5 linked regions of the Rattus norvegicus genome follow. The protein of the gene in region 3 purifies or fractionates together with the protein of the main gene of each other region. This does not show direct contact. Links are inferred from orthologs where the notes say so. Each region holds a gene or a part of one and is shown on either strand. Other genes may lie near its edges. The genes, in order: Zfp644, Dnmt1, Ehmt2, Mier1 and Ctbp1.

Region 1 (4,315 bases), on a different chromosome or scaffold from region 3:
GCTGGGCACGCAGAGCACTCTACAGACTCAGACTGGACAACTCAACAACACGCCACGTCTCTCCTGTGTGGCTGGTGCACTTAGCAAGCACGCCTTTTCCTCCCAGAGTCACTTTGTGAGAAGAGTCCAGACTGCTAATCCTACACAATAACGACGTGTTTGACATGATAGACCTTCCACCATTTTGTATCTCTCAAGCTTTTCTTCTTGCTACCCAAACTCTCCAAGAACTTGAACAAACTGAAAAACCTGGGAGGCAATTAAGGCATGCAGGTGACACTGACTTTATAATTACAAATAACCTCAAAGTAACCCTAATTAGCACAAGACTAAGTGTAATTAAATATACTCAGTGTTGAAACTGAACTAGCCTTTCGACTGAACTCTTAGAAAAAGAGACAGTAAATTAAAAGCACTTTAAATGACCCACACAAGCCTCACAACAAGCAGCACTGTGCACTCCACTGTGCCTGATCTCACCACTTGTTGCATTTCCTAAGACTTGTACTAGCAGCAGCTGGTCTTAAAAGTCACTTAAAGAGCCTGAGAGGCGTCAAAACGACATTACAGAGTGAGAGACACCAGCATGGCTCCTAACACCGATTACATCCCTTGGCCTTCTCTAGCAGTAACAGCGGTTATCTCCAACTCCCCACATTAGTTGTCAAGCACGGTTTTTGTTTTTAATTTTTGCTTTTCTGGGTCATGTCAGGGTTGGAAAGTTCTCAAAAATCCATACATAAGCAACACTACTACAAAATTACATAACATTAACTGTTTTGTCTCAGAAAGTCTCACTGAAGACGCTTTAATTAACGGGGATCATCAGTAATGTCCCATTACCAGGTGCTAACAAAACTATGACAAGGGCAGGAGCTAGCGACCGTGTCCCACCACATCACCAACTTAATACGTGGCTAAGGCAAGGCCTAGGAACAGTAGCTCTTTCAACGGTCTTCTGTAAAACTGTATGATCCAGGGAACACACCTGACTGTGAGCGTAGCTCCTGCCTGCTAATACAACACTGTTCTCTGTTTGAAAGGAAGCTAAGAAAGGGAAAATGCATCCCAGGAAAGAAACAAGTAAGCTAAAGTTTTAATGTTAAAAATTTCAAAGACCTAAAGGTATTTTACTATTCCTTCACGTACTTATATTGATGGCACACGCAAGGACCAACTCCTTTGGAATTCACACCAGTATTAGTTACTTCCAATACAACACATGATGCAAATACAGTATTAAAGTATTCAACAGCAACATGCAAACCACTTCGTTAGAACCAGTCAAGCACTCAGGTTTCACCAATCTAAAAGTCTACACTGAGTTATAACTTCACTGTAGAATCTACCTTTCTCTCTTACCAAACCTACCCGAGATAAGGCACAGCTGTATTGCTGACACCTAGTTCCCTGGATACTTACACATGGCCCTGAAGCACGTTTTCTCGATCTGGGTAACTTTATAGTTGCTTGAGTTCTGAAATACTTTCCTTCGTGGGGCCAAAATTAACTAAACTACAACACGATTAAGGCAAATCCAAGCACATGTCCCAGATGCAGTAAACTTGGCATCAGTTGGGGCTGGCCCCAACAGATGATAGTGTTTGGGGTACTTCTGTGGAAATTAACTTGTGCACAGAACAGGACCATCATCATTTCAGGGCCACAAGCCGTGGGTATCCCCTCGTTGAGTTTAATCACATAATATTTGAAATCTAATATGAAAGTTTTATAACTACATTTAAGTCAGTATTAAACAGTTGAAGAAAACTTTTCCACTAATGTCGCTAAACCATGGATGGATCCCAACACGAGAGTCGTCTGTGGAAGTCTCGAAACAAGAAACCACCTAAGTTTCCAATCACGGGGAAGGGTCTGGGGCAACTCATCTTCATGTTCTCGGGAGGAGTGGATGGAGCACACCTGCTTTCCTCTGGCAGAGATTAAGCTCCCAGGGACACAAAGGCCAGGGAATCAGACCTGGAGAGGCAAAAAGCTTTAGCTAGATACCCACCAAGCCCCTTGGCCACCCAAACACTTCGCGTGATTTTTTTCCTTTTTTTTTTTCCTTTTTTTTTTTTTTTCCTTTTTGTACCTCTTGGAGTTACTTCCCAGGCACTTAGCGGCACAAGATGTTGCAGACCAGTGGGAAGAAGGGGAAAGCTATGTGCTCTGGTCCCAAAGTCAGGGGAGGGGTGTGGACAGTTAGCCCCAGAGTCGGGGCTGCAGGCCAGGACGGAGCAGCCGCACACCGGGCGCCGGCTGACTGCTGTCGGGCCGCCCCGTTACTCGGAGCGTTACAATGGCGACCGCAAGGCTCCCCAGGACCTCCAGATCGCGGCTCCCTTCCCCCTACCGCTCACTGGCTGCTCCGCTACATGTGACTAAACAAAACCCCCCAAGTCCAGAGCCCGGCTCGGCCCCTTTGTGTCCGCCACCGGATCCTCCGCCGCCGGAGCGGAAAGGCCCCCCCGCCCGCCACCGAGTCCCGCCCCGCGGCGGCCGCCGCCGCTCACCTAAGGTTCCGCGGCCCCCCGCGACCGCCGCCTCCCGGACCCCGCGACCCGGGCTTCTTCTGCAGCAGCAACTCCGCCTCCTCGGCAACCGCCGCCATCTTAGCCTGTGCGGCAAAACGCGTCCTTTCGGAGGGTTGGGAGCCAGCCTAGGGCGTAGCTCCCCGGGCCCGAGCGCCGCGGGCCGGGTTCCCCCACAACTTCTTCCGCCACCCTCAGTCCCGCCACCGCCTCAGCCCGGACGTCCGAAATGCAGCCGGGGCCCGGGCTAATCCAACCAAAATAAGACCCCCGAAACTCACAGTTTGGTGCCGTGTGCGTCAAACCGGGGCGACGTTGGGAGCGCGCGGCGTCCCCGCGTCACACGCCGCTCTGTACGCTACTCGGCTCCAACGGCCCCCTCCGCTCCCCGCTTCTCGCCTCCGGCCTCGGTTCCCACGGCGCAGGCGCGCGGCTTTCCCGCCTCTGCCTGGCCGCCGGCCGCCGTGGGAGGCCAGCGAGGCGCGCCCGTGCGCTGGGGCAGCCGGAGCTCCCGTGCCAATCAGACCCACGGGGGGCGCGGCAGAAACAGCGCACCGCTGCTCTCCCGTGCCAAAACCAAACAAGGTCACCTCCCCCAGCGGTGACCTAACCACTCCCGAGGAGGTTCCCGCCCCAAAGTAGGCACGCTCCAAATATGGTGGCAACCAAACTCTGCAAGACCCAAGTACCAGGAATGCCTAGGCCCTTTAAGGTGGAATAGGCCCATCTCTGGTGTCTGCAATCGCTAGTTTGCCAAAATCCCGTTTCTTTTCCTACTGTTGAAAGAATCAGCAACATATATACCAGGCCTACCTTGGCGTACTGGCACAGACAGGTTTTCTGAGGTTAAACAGCATCAGGTGTAGAAACTCTCAGTCAAGACACCCAGAAAGAAGCCCTAGATTTGGGTTCTGAGGGCTCTGCGAGGGCAGTTTCTGCACTGAGGAACATGCCTTGATGGTCCAAATTGGAGTCATGCAAAGAGACGTCTGAAATGCTGGTTAACTCTTCAAGTAATCAATAGATTTCCCCAGAGGGTCTTCTAAATCCCCCTTTTAACAAGCGTTCAGCCATAGGCTTCTGAGGGAAATGGCGCACTAATTAGAGGTATTCGCTTTGCTTTTGAACCGAGTCAACAAGTTCCTAACCTGTTGAAGGTGAACTAAACGTTCTAGAATACTCTAATGGGCCTGCCTTACAAAATTCTTTGGTTTGACTGAACTTTTTTCCCATGAAGAACTTTAAAAGTTCCCACTAGTTAAGCAACAATCATGAACTGCGTACCTCCGTGCCCTTCAAGATATCATTAACATCCAGAGGGATAAGCCATAATTGCATTTATTTGACAAGAACGAGGGTGTCTTTCCTGGAAAATGGTGCCTTCGGCAGCAGCAAAAAAAAGATCCAAAAACCGGATATTTTACTATCCACTCTAATTATTTCACTCGCTGATAACTGCGGACACTGGAGTGCTTGCTGTCTGTGCATCCATCAGGCATTCTTGTAGCCTGTGTGTGCAAGTTCATTACGACCTAAAGTGGCGAAGAGAGATTAGACTGTTTTCTCACAACCGCACAACTGTTGGGCTGTTTCGAAATGTAAGCTTGCCTTCATACACACGAATAGATACACAACATATAAACTCGTGTCTATTTTCGGCCAACTGCTTGGGAGGGATGTACCATAGAGACTTTATTTTTATCTCATGAATATGGGTTTTGCTTGAACGTGTGGCTGGGCACCACGTGCTTCATGCCTGGTACAGTGGAGTCCAAATGAGC
Region 2 (3,515 bases), on a different chromosome or scaffold from region 3:
GGGAAGGCCCTCTGTAGATGACCTTGACCTTGCTGTGGATGTAGGAAAGTTGCATGTTTTCACACTCGCCTACAAGGAACAGCTCCAGAGGGTCAGAGGTGGCTCCGAGGACCGTGTCTGTCCCCGCGCAGAACCAGTGTGCATGGAACATCTGCCCGTTCTTGTCTTCCCACAGTGCTGTGACCCTGTAGCATAAGACGAGACAGGGAACAGACATCTCACGTAACCAGCACAACTTGGGTCTCATTCCGACACAGCTGGACATGAGGTGTTCAAGAGGAAGGTGGGCGCACACACCTGGCTAGATACAGTGGTTTGGAGGGATCATCCGGAATGACCGAGACGCAGTCGCCCACCTCCAGAGTCTCTTCGTCGATGCTCACCTTCCAATAGTAAGTTCTGTTCTCTTCGATCTGAAAGCAAGCAATGGAGCTCAGGTGACGGCCACATCCGATGGTCTCACTGGATTTAACCTGGGTGGCAGCTAACTTCCTATGAAAATCGCTTGGGACTAAGTATGTGGGTCAGCAGTGCAAATCTTACTTAACAGATACAGACTCTGGGTGCCATCCCTAGCAACCCTTAAAAAAAAACAAAAACAAAAAAAACTCCCACAAACATGACTTTTGATCTATTAAGTCATGAAGGATGGGATGGCTCAGTGGGTAAAGCTTGGCTCCAAGACAGATGACCCAAGGTTGATATCTGGGATGGAAGATGGAGAACAGTGACTTATGCAATCTGTGCTGACACACTTGTGCTGCAGCATCCTCAAGTAAATGTAATAATGATGCCAGGTGTAACACACGCAGCTCAGGGTTTACCATGAGGAATGAGGTACAGCTCAGGTACAGAGCTCTAGCCCAGCATGCCTGGGGCCCTGTGCTTCCCTCCCAGCGTCAGGAACAAGGGAGGGGAAGGGGACAGCAGCCGCCAGGCTCCTGGCTGCAGGGCACACCGGTATACAAGAGGAAGGAGTCACACCTTCACAGGCTCCCCGAGCCAGGAGATGCGATCCTTATTCTGTTTCTTCTTCTTCCCTTGGTGCAACTTTTTGGGTGACGGCAACTCTGGTATATCATCATCAGCTTCTTCGTCTTCATCTGCCTCCTTTACGGCCAAGTTAGGACACCTGCAGAACACACACTGCAGTCAACCCAGCGAAAAGCCAAGTCAGCTCCATACCACGTCCCTGCAGGACGCTACATGGCACACTTGCCTTAGCCACCCTGGCCCCTCTGTTATCTGAGCAGAGCATAGCACAGCCTACCTCCTCTTGAGGCAAGCCTGTTTACTCCGTCCGGTGCCACCAAACTTAACCATGTCTTTGCACGCCTTGCACTTCCCACACTCAGGCTGTTGACAGACCTGAAAATACCAAGAGTCGACCAATCAGCAGATTCTCAACTGGCAGCTTTCATTTTGTTTGGCTTTATTTGTTTTTGTTTTTGAGAAGAGTTCTTTACACAAAGCTCTGGCTGTCCTGGAACTCACTACGTAGACCAGGCTGGCCTTGAACTCAGATACTCCTGCTTCTGCAGCCGAATGCTTGAATTAAAGGTTTGTGCTACTATATCCAGGCCCAGGAACGTTTACTTATAACTTTCAAAGATATGCATGTTCAGGGCCAGTGGGGAAAGGCACTTGGTGCCGAGCCTTACAACCCAAGTTCAATACCCAAGACCCACAGAAAGGTGGGAAACCAACTCCGGGGTTTCTTCTGACCTTCATATGCACACTGTGGCCCCATGGAGACACTCTAATAAAAAATTATAATAAATAAATAATATATAATAAAAAAGTGTGAAACATACTGCATTTGTGCTGAACAGCTTTTTTTTTCCTTTTTTTTTTTTTTTTTTTTTCGGAGCTGGGGACCGAACCCAGGGCCTTGTGCTTGCTAGGCAAGCGCTCTACCACTGAGCTAAATCCCCAACCCCGCTGAACAGCTTCTTACCCTCCCCCCTGAGTGATACAGCATGGCAGCCACATGTGGCCTGAATCTGTGTCAGGTATCAAGTCAGCCAGCTGTTCACATACACATATGGCCTGAACCAGTACCAGTCAGTGGGGACAACCCCTAACAGACCGAGAGAACAAGGTAAACAAGGTAACCAAACAGGGCCACCAAGCACCCAGCTCCATTTAAACCACCACTGCCACCACAAAAACAAAAACAAAACAAAACAAAAAAGCTTTAAACAAATAATCAGATACAAGGACATTGAGAAAAGTCAAGGAATGGCAAGGACAGGGCATCATGAGAGAAAAGAACTTGCTACTGTGGGGTGTGGAATCCATCCAGGCTCCGTTGTACCCAGGGAAAGTCAGGACAGTACATTGTAAAAGATGACTTTCTCTGAAGAAAAAACCCCAGCAGCCCCCTGGATGCTAAGAGCAGCACATGTAGGAAGGCGTCTCCTCTCCCATTCGAAGGCCCAGGATACCCAAGTCCCTGTACAGTCTGAGACAAGATGAGCTGTAAGCAGCTGTCAGAACATGCTGACATCAGAGGTGCATGGCAGTGCACACCTGAGTGCCCAGTGCACACAAGGTAGGTAACACCAGCAGTTTCAGGTCAGCCTTGTACACATAGGTGCCTCAGAACATATGTGCATGTCTTAGGCTATGGTTCGGGATAAATTCATTCTCTAATTTTTCAAACATGACAGCCCAGGCTGACCTCAAACTCACTAGAACACTGAGAATGACCTTGAAATCCCGATCCTCCTGTCTCCACTTCTGAAGTGCCAGGATCACAGGCCTGTGCCTCCAGGTGTAGCTTAACCACATCTGAAGTTTGGGTTTGCTTGTTTAGTGTGATGTAGGTGGATTCCAGGCTACGTCTACAAAAAGGATTCACAATTCACAAGAGCCAGGCATGGTGGCACAGGTCTGGAAACCCAGCTCTTAGAAGTCACAGTGAGGCTTCCGTAGCCACAAGTCTAAGCTGAGAGAAAAGTGCTCATTCGGTTCTTCTCAGGGAACCCAGCTTCTGTAGTCACAGCGTCATCCAGACCAAAAGCCCCAGACACCGACTTCAACCCTCCCTCCATCTGCCTGTCTGGCCCTCAAGGCAGGCAGCTACCCCAGGGCATGAGCTGCTCTTCTTCACATCTAAGAGCAGCCAAGGACGGCCCACTCACCTCACAGACACCACACCGGCGGCGCTTCATGGTGTTCTCTTTGTCCTCCTTGTCATCCTTCTCGATCTGCTCCGAGAAGAAAGTGTCGAAGATCTGATAGACCAGCTTGGTGGTGGTGGCTTTTGTGGGCCCCTTGCGCTTCACTTTGGCAGAATTGATGACCGTGCGCCTTGTTGCTCGCCTGAGGGAGAGGACCACCATTTCAGGGACCCAGGCGCAGGGGACTGCCTCCTCTGGTCTCAAGCTCAAGCCTCCCACCCGAGTCTTGATACATCCTTACCTCTGTCCCAGCGAGACACCAGCCAAATGGATCAGGGACCTCATACAGGGAGACAAGAAGATGGGCGTCTCATCATCGTCCTTAGCGTC
Region 3 (3,489 bases):
GGCGGGAAGGAGTGGTGTGAGTGAGAGGGCTCTCCCCTGGAGCATGGGTTCGTTTCAGGACGCTGGCTGGTGACGGTCCCAGCGAGAGGGGGAGTCTTCATGTGCCCCAGTGTGGAGGGACTCCCACATCAGGCTCCTTCAGCCCCTGCTCCCTCGAGCCCGGTGGGGCCTGTGTCTCACCTGCAGGTGAGTGATGTTTCGGTCGATGTTCATGGTGGACGTTTCACAGTTCTCGGAGATGTACTTATAGTCCTCTGGGCATGGCTCCCCATCCACGCCATTGACACAGGGAATGGGCACATTCTCATAGCCTCGGGCTACATCCCTACAGAAGGGCAGTAAAGTTAGGTAGGGGCCGGAGCATTCCTGAGGGGAAGCTCAAGGATTCCTCCGTATAAGGGTGCTGGGGTGGTGGCACCTTTAATCCCAGTGCATGCGGTGAGACATTCTTGAAAACAAAAAAAGGGAAGTTAAGACACCAGGGAAACAATCTCAGCTTAGAAATAATTATGTCCTCAACATCGCACAGGTTATCTTTGTTTCTTGGTGAGGCCCAACAACATTGTGCATGTGAGGCCAATAAACACTCTACTCCAGCCCCGGCCCCGGCCCCGGCCCCTTATATTCCTCTGTGAGATACAGCATCATATAGCCTGCTGGCCCCAAATAGCGAGATAGCCAAGAATGACTTGGACTCTTGACTCTCCTGCCCTAGCTCCCAAGTGGCTAGGATTAGAGGTATATGTCATCACCCTGCTGGACTCTGGACTTTTAAATTTTAGTTGGAGGCTGAGCCTTGGTATAATGCCTCGCTTGGCTGGCCTTAAAAGTGAGACCATGGCCTTCCCGCTTCCTTAGTGTAGCACTGACACAGACTGCAAGCACCCAGCTAGCACAGGACGCACTAGTATTCCTGCTCACCTGAAAAAACATTTTCTCATTTTACGTGTTAAGAATACTTTGCCTGCACTTCTGTATGCACCCCACATGCACGCCTGCTGCCCGCAGAGGTCAGAAGGAGGCATGGATCCTCTGGGTCATGGATCTGAAGTTACAGATGGCTGTGAGCCACCCTGTGGGTGCTGGGAATTGAACTCAGGACCTCTGGAAGAGCAGCCAGTGCTCTTAACCGCTGAGCCATCTCTCCAGATCCCTTTTTTACCCCCCCCCCCCCCCCCCGGAGCTGAGGACCGAACCCAGGGCCTTGCCCTTGCTAGGCAAGTGCTCTACCACTGAGCTAAATCCCCGACCCCCTTTTTTAACTTTTTAACGTGTTGCCTCTTCCTTCCTTTCTTTGAGACACTCTCATTCTGTAGCTCTGGCTATCCTAGAACTCAGATCCATCTGCTACTCCTCCCCAGTGCTAACATTAGAGGTCACAGTCCTTTCTGGCAGAGTGATGCACTCCTTTTAATCCCAGCACTAGGGAGGCAGAGGCACAGGGATCTCTGTGAGTTCAAGGCCAGCCTGGTCTACAGAGTGACTTCCAGGACAGCCGGGGCTACACAGAGAAACCCTGTCTTAAAAAAAAAAAAAAAAAAAAAAACCTCTCCTCAAAGACAGTGAACATTCCTGGTGGCCTCCAACCGCTCCCTTCTTGAGACAGCATCTCACTGTGTAGCCCTAGAGCCCAGAGATCTGCCTTCGCCTCCCTCCAGAGTAGTGGATTAAAGGTCTAAACCACCACGCCTGGCTTGAGGACCTTTCGCGCTCACACAGGATACAGTGTGGAATTAAGGTCAGAGGGCAACCTTCAGGAGGCAGCTCTCTCCTGGTGGGTTCTTGGCTTGAACTCAGAATGCACATTCAGTAGTTGGGTTGCCTCACACTAGCCTTGCGGGGTTTTTTGGTTTGGTTTGATTTTCCTTTTTAAGGTCTGAGTCTCAATAATAACAAATACTGATCTCCAACCCGTGGGCTCAAGAGGCAGGTCTTCCTCCAGCCTTCAGAATAGGAGGGGGTCACAGGTGACACCCAGCTCCTGTCTGAAATTCTTTTTTTTTTTTTTTTTAAAAAGCTTTATTTATCTTATGTTTATGAGCGCTCTATCTGCATGTACACCTGCAGGCCAGAAGAGGGCGGAAGATCCCCTTTCAGATGGCTGTGAGTCACCATGTGGTTGCTGGGAATTGAACTCAGGACCTCTGGAAGAGCAGTCAGTGTTCTTAGCCTCTGAGCCATCTCTCCAGCCTGTCTGAAACTCTTATTTGGGTATCTGCCTCAAACTCACAATCCTCCTGCCTCAGCTACCTCTAAGGCTTGGAAAACATGTCCTTTTCTTTATTTTTCTTACATATTTATTTATTTTTCATTTATTTTAAGAAAGATAAGGTCTCACCATGTGGCCCTCCTTGGCCTGGAACTCACTAATACATACAAACCAAGCTGGCCTCAGGTTCAAAACAACCAACCGTCTGCCTCCTGCGTGCTGAGATTACAGGGGTGGCCACCACACCCTGCCTTTAGCTTTTTTCAGGTGTGCGACTGTGCCATGCTGTGTGTTCGTAAGCCAGAGAAAAACATGGCTCTCCAGGGACTGCACTCAGTTTGTCAGGCTTGGTTGCAGGTTCCCTTGCCCACTGAGGGCCCCTTATTTCCACCTCCCTTAGAGGCAAGATGATTGTAGGAGCTACTGGGACGTCCTGCGTCTGGCAAGGGGCCTGAGACTGAAGACGTGGAGGAGCTGTGGCATCTGGGCTGCACTCACCGGCAGATGATCTTCTCGGTGCGGACAGCCCGGTTCCCTACCCCGAGCCTAAGCTTGCGATTGAGCTGCAGTGCAAACCACACATCGGAGCGCTCTGGGGTCAGATCCCACGCCGTGTCCCCTTCTTTGTTCCGAAGCTCAGGGTTGGCTCCACGGGACAGGAACAACCTGAGAGGGATAGAAAACCTGAGTCAGAGACTGGACAGTGGGGTGTGGGTGCCGGGAGTGGGGTGTGGGGAGGTGGGTCCGGAAGCTGGGGCTTACAGAACGCAGTCATGGTAGCTCTCCCTGGCGGCTATGTGCAGGGGCGTGTCCCCGTGGTAGTTGACAGCATGGAGGTCGCACTGGGCATTCAGGAGGACCTCGGCAATAGCGGCACTACCCGTGAAGGAAGCCCAGTGCAGGCAGATGTTTTCCTCCTGTGGAGGTGAGGGGCAGAGATCGGGTTGCAGGTGACAGGATCGGGGTCCCCCTGCTCCCCACCAGTCCCCCCAGCTCCCTTGAGTGCCCCTCACGTTGTCGGTAAGGGTGACGTCGGCGCCCCGGGTCAGCAGCATACGGATCACGTCGATGTGCTTGTGCTCGGCTGCCCAGATGATGGGTGTCCAGCCCCCACTGTCCTGAGGGACGGAAGGAGGAATGGAATCAGGGCCCAGACTTGCTGGCCAGAAAACGGAAGCTGAGGGGCACCTCTGGGAACAGCCAAAGCCAGAGCATGGGGCATTCCACAGATGCACACCCTCCCCACCCAGGCTCAGCGGGGTCCTCGCTGGATGAGCTCA
Region 4 (3,515 bases), on a different chromosome or scaffold from region 3:
AATTTTTAATTATATAGTTCAGAGATATGGTGGTATACACTTTAACTCTATCACTTAAAACAGAAGATCAAAGCCAGTTGGACTACATGTCTAGGTGTACCAGATGCACACCTTTAATCCCACCATTTGGGAGGCATAGACAGATCTCTTGAGTTTGTGGCCAGCCTGGTCTATGTAGTGAGCTCCAGTTCAGTCAGAGCTACATTAACAGAGAGTCCAAATGAACAAAACAAAAACCCCCAACCCAAACCTCCCTGTCTATTAAAAAGTTTAAGAAAAGACAGACAGAAAACAATCCAATGTTGGGTAACTAAACCAGGAACCACTGACAAAACTTCATTGCGCGGTCCACGGGCATGGAGGCACAGGGAGAGTACAGCCTGCACTGTGTGCTCCGAGCAGCATGGAGTTTAAGCACTGAGACTAAAACACAGTGAACAACTAGACATCACACACATCACATGAGTATGCTTACAAAAATATTTTAATGAGCATATCAGAATGGCAGAAGGAAATGGGAGAAAGGACATATTTTACAGTGCAAAATTATTATGCAGAAATTTAAAAACATCTAATTCATAATTTTGAATGCCTACTTAAATTACTTCAAATACCTTTTAAAGCTCAAGAGATCTGTGTTGAACTGAGTTACAGATTGTGAACCTTAGTGAGAATACATCATAAATACATCATCATTGTATGTTCCAGATGAAAATGACAGTGCTTGGCTAGGACCTAATAACTACCAACAGAGCCATTTCTATCTGAGTCAGCATATCAGGCTGGCCTCAACTCACCAGGTAATGAGGATGGCCTTGAACTTCTGATTCTCCTGCCTCCACCTCCCAAGTGCTTAGGATGACAGGCATGCACCACTATACCCAGTTCCTGTGGTACTGGGGATGGAACCCATTTTGCATGCATGTTGGGTAAGCATTCCAGCAACTGAGCTACATCCCTACTCATGAATGCTTATTTTCTCATCTCAGTTACTTAAGTGTTCAACAGTTAGGAAATACACCAAATCTTAAGCAGATTACTCATGATATTGTCAAACTGTTTAAAAGTGCAATGACTTAAGTTTCAGTGGCTGCATTTTTTGAACAAAGGGTGAAATACCTATACAAACACAGAATATAGTTGGGAAAAGCTGAGCCTTGTGTATTAGAGGAATGTTTCATTATGCATACTTTAAAAAGAAAAGATTTATGAACACTTATACACCTGGCACATTTGCCAACATGCCTGAGAATTTCCTTAAAACGTTCCTGTTACAACAGTTTCGAGAAGTCCAAGAACGTGTCGAGCAGAGGCATCCTTTAAAAGGCGGACTGACATCTTCCATAGTGTAATGATTAAAAAGCATAGCATCACTTAAAGATCACCTGTGACAAGGAGCTGGGATGGCCTGGACTCATATAATAAAACCTGCTTTAGAAAATAGACTGTTGCTGGGTGTGGTGGGAAACACCTCCAATCTCAGCATTAGCGGGCTGAGGTAGAAGGGTTGTTAAGTTCCAGGCCAGCCTGGGCTACACAGTGAGACTCTGTGGGGGTGGGCAGGGAGACAAGCTATGACCATCTGCTAAAGGTACTTGACCTACTGCCATTCTGGATAAATTAATGTTTTCAATAAAACAAACTAAACCCTCTCGTGCTTCTCAGCACTTCCACCTGAAGGCAACTCACTGGACTATTTCTGCAGAAAACAGTAAATGCGTATTATTATGATGTGCTGTCAAGGTGGCTTCTAATACTGATTTGGGGAAAGAAAAGTTTGTACCCATTGTGAAGGGAAGCAGTCTGGACAAATGTAAGAATACTATGAGGGAGAGGCCTGGGCGATCATTCTCAGTGCAAACCTTAACCCACCCTGCATCAGACAACTGAGCCACTAAAAGGACACAGATCTGTCTTTGAAAGCAGTGGCTCTTGAACTGACGGCTGAGATCAAACTGAAGGCAGCATTTGGGGATGTGCCTGTGTGAGAAAAGGTAGTTAATCATCATTCACTAAAAAACAGTCCAGAGATAGATTGGTCTATCAGCTGTATAAAACTACATTTTGTAAGAAGAATTTTGCACTAACAATAAAATGGCATCCATTCTTACAAGGCTAGTGCAATAACCCTTTTTAAAGTCACACAGAACAATGGTTATTTTGTATGTGTTTCATTTTGGAAAAAGTATCAAATGTGACAAACTGGATTACAACTGGAAAGATCTGAAAATTCTTAAAACCACTATTTTCTCATAAAAATGAATATTGCTACCTGTCAACAGTTACTCCTTGGATGTGGCAATATTGCAACATCACGTGACCTTCCCTTTCTGTTGACTGAAACAATGAGAAATCTTGTAGGGCACATGAGAGTAACTGAACAGGATTCTATTCAGCACGATACATCTACACACTTAAGCTGACAGTAAGTCTTTGTTTTGTTTCACAATTAATTTATAAAATTATAGCAAATGCAAACAAGCTTGTAATCTGAGTATCATGCTGAAATTTAGAAGTCCCAAATTATGTCAGTAAGTAGAAGTTTGAAAATAACATAATTCTTTATGAATGCTTTTACCACCTGGATAAGAAACATGACTTGGTTAACTACACACACACTTAAAAATTCATTAGAAAAATCTTAGCAAAATAAAATGAAAGCTGACAGACTCAGAATATCAGTTCCTCTCATAAAAGTTTACCAACTGTACAAGTTAAGAAAATTATACAAGCTTTTTTTGTATTAAGAAAGGACAGCTCAGTCAAGACATATGTACTGTAAAAATCTTTCAAAGGCTACAAAGAATCTGGAAAAATACAGAATGTATTTCTTAAGCCCAGATAAGAATATGGAAAGACATCATTGATGTCAACAATTTTACAAATACAAACCTGACTTGGTTTATTTTTAAACTTCTACATATAAAAATCATGCTAGCATAACCTTCAGGATTCATGAGGGTTTCCTTAATGACGATGTTCAATTTGTATGGAGAGAAAAATGTCTGTTGTAAAGACATTTCTAGATAATAAAAAAAATTGGTGTTGAACAGAAACAAACTTTTTTCTTCCTCATAAAGAATAAGGAAAGATTACCTTTTAGTCAAATATGACTTGTTTCTCAAAGGAGAAGGTGCAGTTAAGTCTTTGGGTCATTCAAATTTACCAATGTTTTTATATCCTTAAAGAGGGCTTCAAAATTTGAAGTAAAAGAACTTGCAAAAAGTAGAATTATGAATCCCATTTCTTAAAGTTAGGACCTAATTCCAATTTCAAGAGTTAACAACTGCTTCAAGGAAATCAGCTTTCTAAAGGTCACCCCCCCAACCCTGAAAATTGTAGTCAAACCAGACTTTACTGCAAAGAAAGTAAAATAGGCCTAAGAGTTAGTCATTTGTGTTTTCATGTTCCTCAAACTTCCCATGTGAGACTGCTTCCTGGAAAAACTCAGACGAACCCGGACTTTCTTTCCCACTGCTGTTTATCCGCCGCCTTTTGGCAGGTCTCTCATTTTT
Region 5 (3,515 bases), on a different chromosome or scaffold from region 3:
TTCACTGTGTTGTCACCAACTGGCCAGGCCTAGGGTTTAGGCTGAAACAAGGGACCAGTCAGAGAGGTCATTGTCCTCTTCCCAGAACAGGGACTATGTGCCATAGTCATACTTGTACACACATGAAGCCATGTGTGCTCAAATTGTACACATATGCATGACTCTGCATCTGTGTATGCAGTTTTACTGAAGCAGTATGGCCATACTTAGCCATTTTAGCCTGTTTCTGTGCTAGTGGCCAACTGACAAAGCAAGGCTGCAGTCTCCAGTGTCTGCTGTTGACATCATTCTGCCTTCTGTTCCTTAAGGCTGTCTGGGGAACCACGGGCAGCTGAGAACTTGAGTAGTGTGGTGGGAAAGTCCGTCTTGTTCTGTTGGTTCATGCTGGCCTGGCATGCCACAGGGGCCAGAAGCTGGCCGGCCTTTCCTCAGCAAGGCCCCACCATTTCCCTCTATAGAGCTCACAGGCTCGACTCTTGAGCTAGGGATGGCCAAGTGCCGCCACTGTGGCCCAGATACGGGAAGGGCTGTGTCTTGTTTGCCTTATGTCTTCTCAGGGGTCAGTTTTGTTTCTGAGCCTCCAGGCTACCTACTACTGCTCCATGTTCCCTTGCTTATTTCAAGGGAGTTGTTTCTAGAGGATGTGTGGGTCCTGTCTTGGCTCCTCTTGTGTCAGGTACCTCTAATTCTTAAGATAGTTTCTACAAAAACAGTCCTGTCCCAGCACCTCAGTGAGAAGCACAGGCAGAAGTATCCAGCCAAGGTGGGAAGTAGACTTGTGGCCACTGTAGAGGATGGGCTCATGGTGGGATGGTGGGATCCTCCTCTGAGGACAAGGACCATGGGCAGCCCAAGGCAGCACAGACTGTGTCAGCTTACAGTGCCTGAGCTTGGGCTCTTGGGATAATTGGGGCACTGAGGTTAGGAAAGAGAAGCCCCATCTGACTTGTTCCCAGGACAGTGGGCATTGCTGAGCTCTGAAGTCAGGGCATTCCTGGCCTTGGAAGCTCTGGGGATCTGGAAGTTGTGATTCATGTAGTATCAACAGGTGGGGGCCGGCCAGTCCCAAGATGCACCTTGGCACTGGCCCTTTGCCAGTATGGCCATGGCTGCTTAGGAATTTTGAGTGCCCAGTGATCCACGCGGGGAAGAAATGAGTACTGATGGGATTGGTCACCTGCACATCCAGACTATTCAGGCTAGGGATGGTCAGAGAAGCACTTAGCTGTCCCTGCTCTGTCTGTTTGCTTGTTGGTTGTCACATCTTTGTTGTACAAGGCTGTGACTCCAGGTTTAAGTATGCCCAATGATAGAGACAGGTAGTCCTATCTGGTGGCTGTGGGATGTGTCTTCTGATGTGTTTCTGCTGAAGCAGTACCCTGAGGTTGCGCTCTGACTGCAGCACCTCTGATTGTGATGACAGGAGGCTGTGGGCCTGGTACATGTGTCTCCATGTGTATTCTAGGCATCGCAGTGTGCAATGTACCAGCAGCATCTGTGGAAGAAACAGCAGACTCCACCCTGTGCCACATTCTGAACCTATACCGACGAACTACCTGGCTACACCAGGCACTTCGGGAAGGCACTCGGGTCCAGAGTGTAGAGCAGATCCGAGAGGTGGCTTCAGGAGCTGCCAGGATCCGTGGAGAGACCTTGGGCATCATTGGACTAGGTGCGTTGGCCACTGTGACTCAGCACAAATAGCCTTTGTCTGTCTGTCCCCCTTGCACTTCATAAAGTTGAGGCCCCGGACTTTCTGGTTGTGTTGCTATCCTCAGCTCAGGATAGGACATAGGATAGAAAGTCCAGGGGCAGGGCTGAAGACACTAGGCTATGTCTTTCACAGGTGCCATCCATGGAGGTCATTCATGCATGGGCACGTGTGTATATTATATGTGGATGAAACAGATAGGGTATACACATGGACACGCTTAGATATGTATACAGTTACATACACACGCTGTAACTGACATGTTATTACTGAAGCACCACCTTGAGGGTGTGCTCTGGCTATAGCACCTTTGACTGTTGGTGTCATGGGGCTGTGGGCCTGGTACATGTGTACCCCACAGCTCCAAAGACTTGAGTGGTATGACCTCAGGGCCTACTTCTGTCCTACTTAGGTGGTACTCAGTTCCCACTCTCTCACTGCTGTTTGCTTTTTGTTGGTCCCCATTTGTTATGTGTCCCATAGAAATGGCACAATAAGTTGTGCCAGAGTTTCACCATTGAGGGCTCCCTTGTCACCAGACAGCCTACCCTTGGCTGACCCTAGCTGCACTGTACTCCTTCCTCAGCACTGCTGCCGCTTCGGTAGATGGGAAATGTGTGTGGGTCACCTGAGCTACTGAAGAGATAGACTTGGTATGTAGTTGTTGTCCCAGTGGACACTCACGGCAGGGCTGTTTGGTATTCCATGGCACTGAATGTACCCTTCCTGTCCAGTGTATAGGATGAGTTAGTACCGCCTACCTCAGGGTTGTAGCCCTGAGACTCATTGAGGGTGAAGAAAGATAAACATGGGTAGAGTGAGGGTCAGGGGTGTCACTAGGCAGGTTTTGGTGGTCAAGTTCTTGCCCTCCAGTCTGCTTGGTCTTACTCTGTTAGTGGCTCAGCCATGTGTCCTTTTGGTACCCTGCCTTGCAATGATACTTGATACTTTGCCCAGTGTGCCACGTGGCTGCCACTGACTACCTTCTGGCCTACACTGCTGTCTTCTCTGCTGTGTCAAGCTGACCACTGTAGTCAAAGCTCCCCAGGTTTCAGGATCCATAGATGGTGACATGTATTCCATGTGAATGATGTAGATGACACAGACATGGTGATGCATGTGGACATACTTGTGTGTGAGTGTACAGTATATACAAGGGAGGATGGTAAATTGTGCCTCCTCAGAGCACAGCAAGGGCTCAGAAGGGAGTTGCTGTACCCTCTATCTTGGGGACCCCCTAGTCATGTAATTGCTACCAACTACAGAACAATTCTGAGGCTGGCTTCCATATACTGTGGCCTCGCTCTGGAAGGGAGATGACCACTTGCCCCCAGGTATCCCTGCTGCCTCCTGCTCTTCCTTTCTACGACCTGTGGAGGCTGACTTCAGTGTAGACTTTGGTGATTAATTCTTGTTCAGGAGAGAGGACACACAGGCAGTGTGGGGTGTACGTTTTGCTTCTGTAACATGGATGTGCCAGCTATTTCCCATGTCTGTTGGCCTTCACACCCAGTCTTCTGCCTTCCCCTTCCTTGTTCTCTATCAGATATTTGCGAAATCCTCTGTTATAACTGAAAGATACTCTGTTTCTTTCCTGGAGTATACATTGTATTTCTGCCTGAGACAGCCCTGTACCTTTTCCAGCTAATCCTCCCTTGCTGTAGTCTCTGTATGCCATCTGGTACAGCTTGCTAGGTTCATCAGCCCTACTGAAAGGGACAAGTTTCCTGAGTTTGTGTTCTTCCAACAGACATGAGGTTCTAGGTGTTGTCTACATGTCTGTCTTACTCAGAAGCTCTTACTG

Evidence for each region.
Region 1: the proteins of Ehmt2 (region 3) and Zfp644 purify together in Homo sapiens (affinity purification with mass spectrometry; 3 studies listed by BioGRID and IntAct, with this or other methods). This does not show direct contact. The link is inferred for Rattus norvegicus from reciprocal best matches to the Homo sapiens genes EHMT2 and ZNF644.
Region 2: the proteins of Ehmt2 (region 3) and Dnmt1 purify together in Homo sapiens (affinity purification with western blotting; 3 studies listed by BioGRID, with this or other methods). This does not show direct contact. The link is inferred for Rattus norvegicus from reciprocal best matches to the Homo sapiens genes EHMT2 and DNMT1.
Region 4: the proteins of Ehmt2 (region 3) and Mier1 purify together in Homo sapiens (co-immunoprecipitation; 3 studies listed by BioGRID and IntAct, with this or other methods). This does not show direct contact. The link is inferred for Rattus norvegicus from reciprocal best matches to the Homo sapiens genes EHMT2 and MIER1.
Region 5: the proteins of Ehmt2 (region 3) and Ctbp1 purify together in Homo sapiens (affinity purification with mass spectrometry; 4 studies listed by BioGRID and IntAct, counting the BioPlex papers as one, with this or other methods). This does not show direct contact. The link is inferred for Rattus norvegicus from reciprocal best matches to the Homo sapiens genes EHMT2 and CTBP1.

The regions. Positions count from the first base shown.
Region 1 is NC_086032.1:3,248,678-3,252,992, reverse strand, and holds the start of Zfp644 (zinc finger protein 644), read right to left. Parts: upstream 2,810-4,315; 5' UTR 2,615-2,809; coding exon of another isoform or gene 2,517-2,614; exon of another isoform or gene 1,423-2,516; intron 1-1,422.
Region 2 is NC_086026.1:27,728,335-27,731,849, forward strand, and holds part of Dnmt1 (DNA (cytosine-5)-methyltransferase 1), read right to left. Parts: coding exon 3,427-3,515; intron 3,328-3,426; coding exon 3,147-3,327; intron 1,369-3,146; coding exon 1,271-1,368; intron 1,133-1,270; coding exon 985-1,132; intron 414-984; coding exon 298-413; intron 186-297; coding exon 1-185. UniProt on the Homo sapiens protein: Methylates CpG residues. Preferentially methylates hemimethylated DNA. Associates with DNA replication sites in S phase maintaining the methylation pattern in the newly synthesized strand, that is essential for epigenetic inheritance.
Region 3 is NC_086038.1:3,927,226-3,930,714, forward strand, and holds part of Ehmt2 (histone-lysine N-methyltransferase EHMT2), read right to left. Parts: intron 3,328-3,489; coding exon 3,223-3,327; intron 3,127-3,222; coding exon 2,972-3,126; intron 2,876-2,971; coding exon 2,708-2,875; intron 326-2,707; coding exon 181-325; intron 1-180. UniProt on the Homo sapiens protein: Histone methyltransferase that specifically mono- and dimethylates 'Lys-9' of histone H3 (H3K9me1 and H3K9me2, respectively) in euchromatin.
Region 4 is NC_086023.1:123,153,605-123,157,119, reverse strand, and holds the end of Mier1 (mesoderm induction early response protein 1), read right to left. Parts: coding exon 3,387-3,515; 3' UTR 467-3,386; downstream 1-466. UniProt on the Homo sapiens protein: Transcriptional repressor regulating the expression of a number of genes including SP1 target genes. Probably functions through recruitment of HDAC1 a histone deacetylase involved in chromatin silencing.
Region 5 is NC_086032.1:81,693,586-81,697,100, forward strand, and holds part of Ctbp1 (C-terminal-binding protein 1), read left to right. Parts: intron 1-1,465; coding exon 1,466-1,672; intron 1,673-3,515. UniProt on the Homo sapiens protein: Corepressor targeting diverse transcription regulators such as GLIS2 or BCL6. Has dehydrogenase activity. Involved in controlling the equilibrium between tubular and stacked structures in the Golgi complex.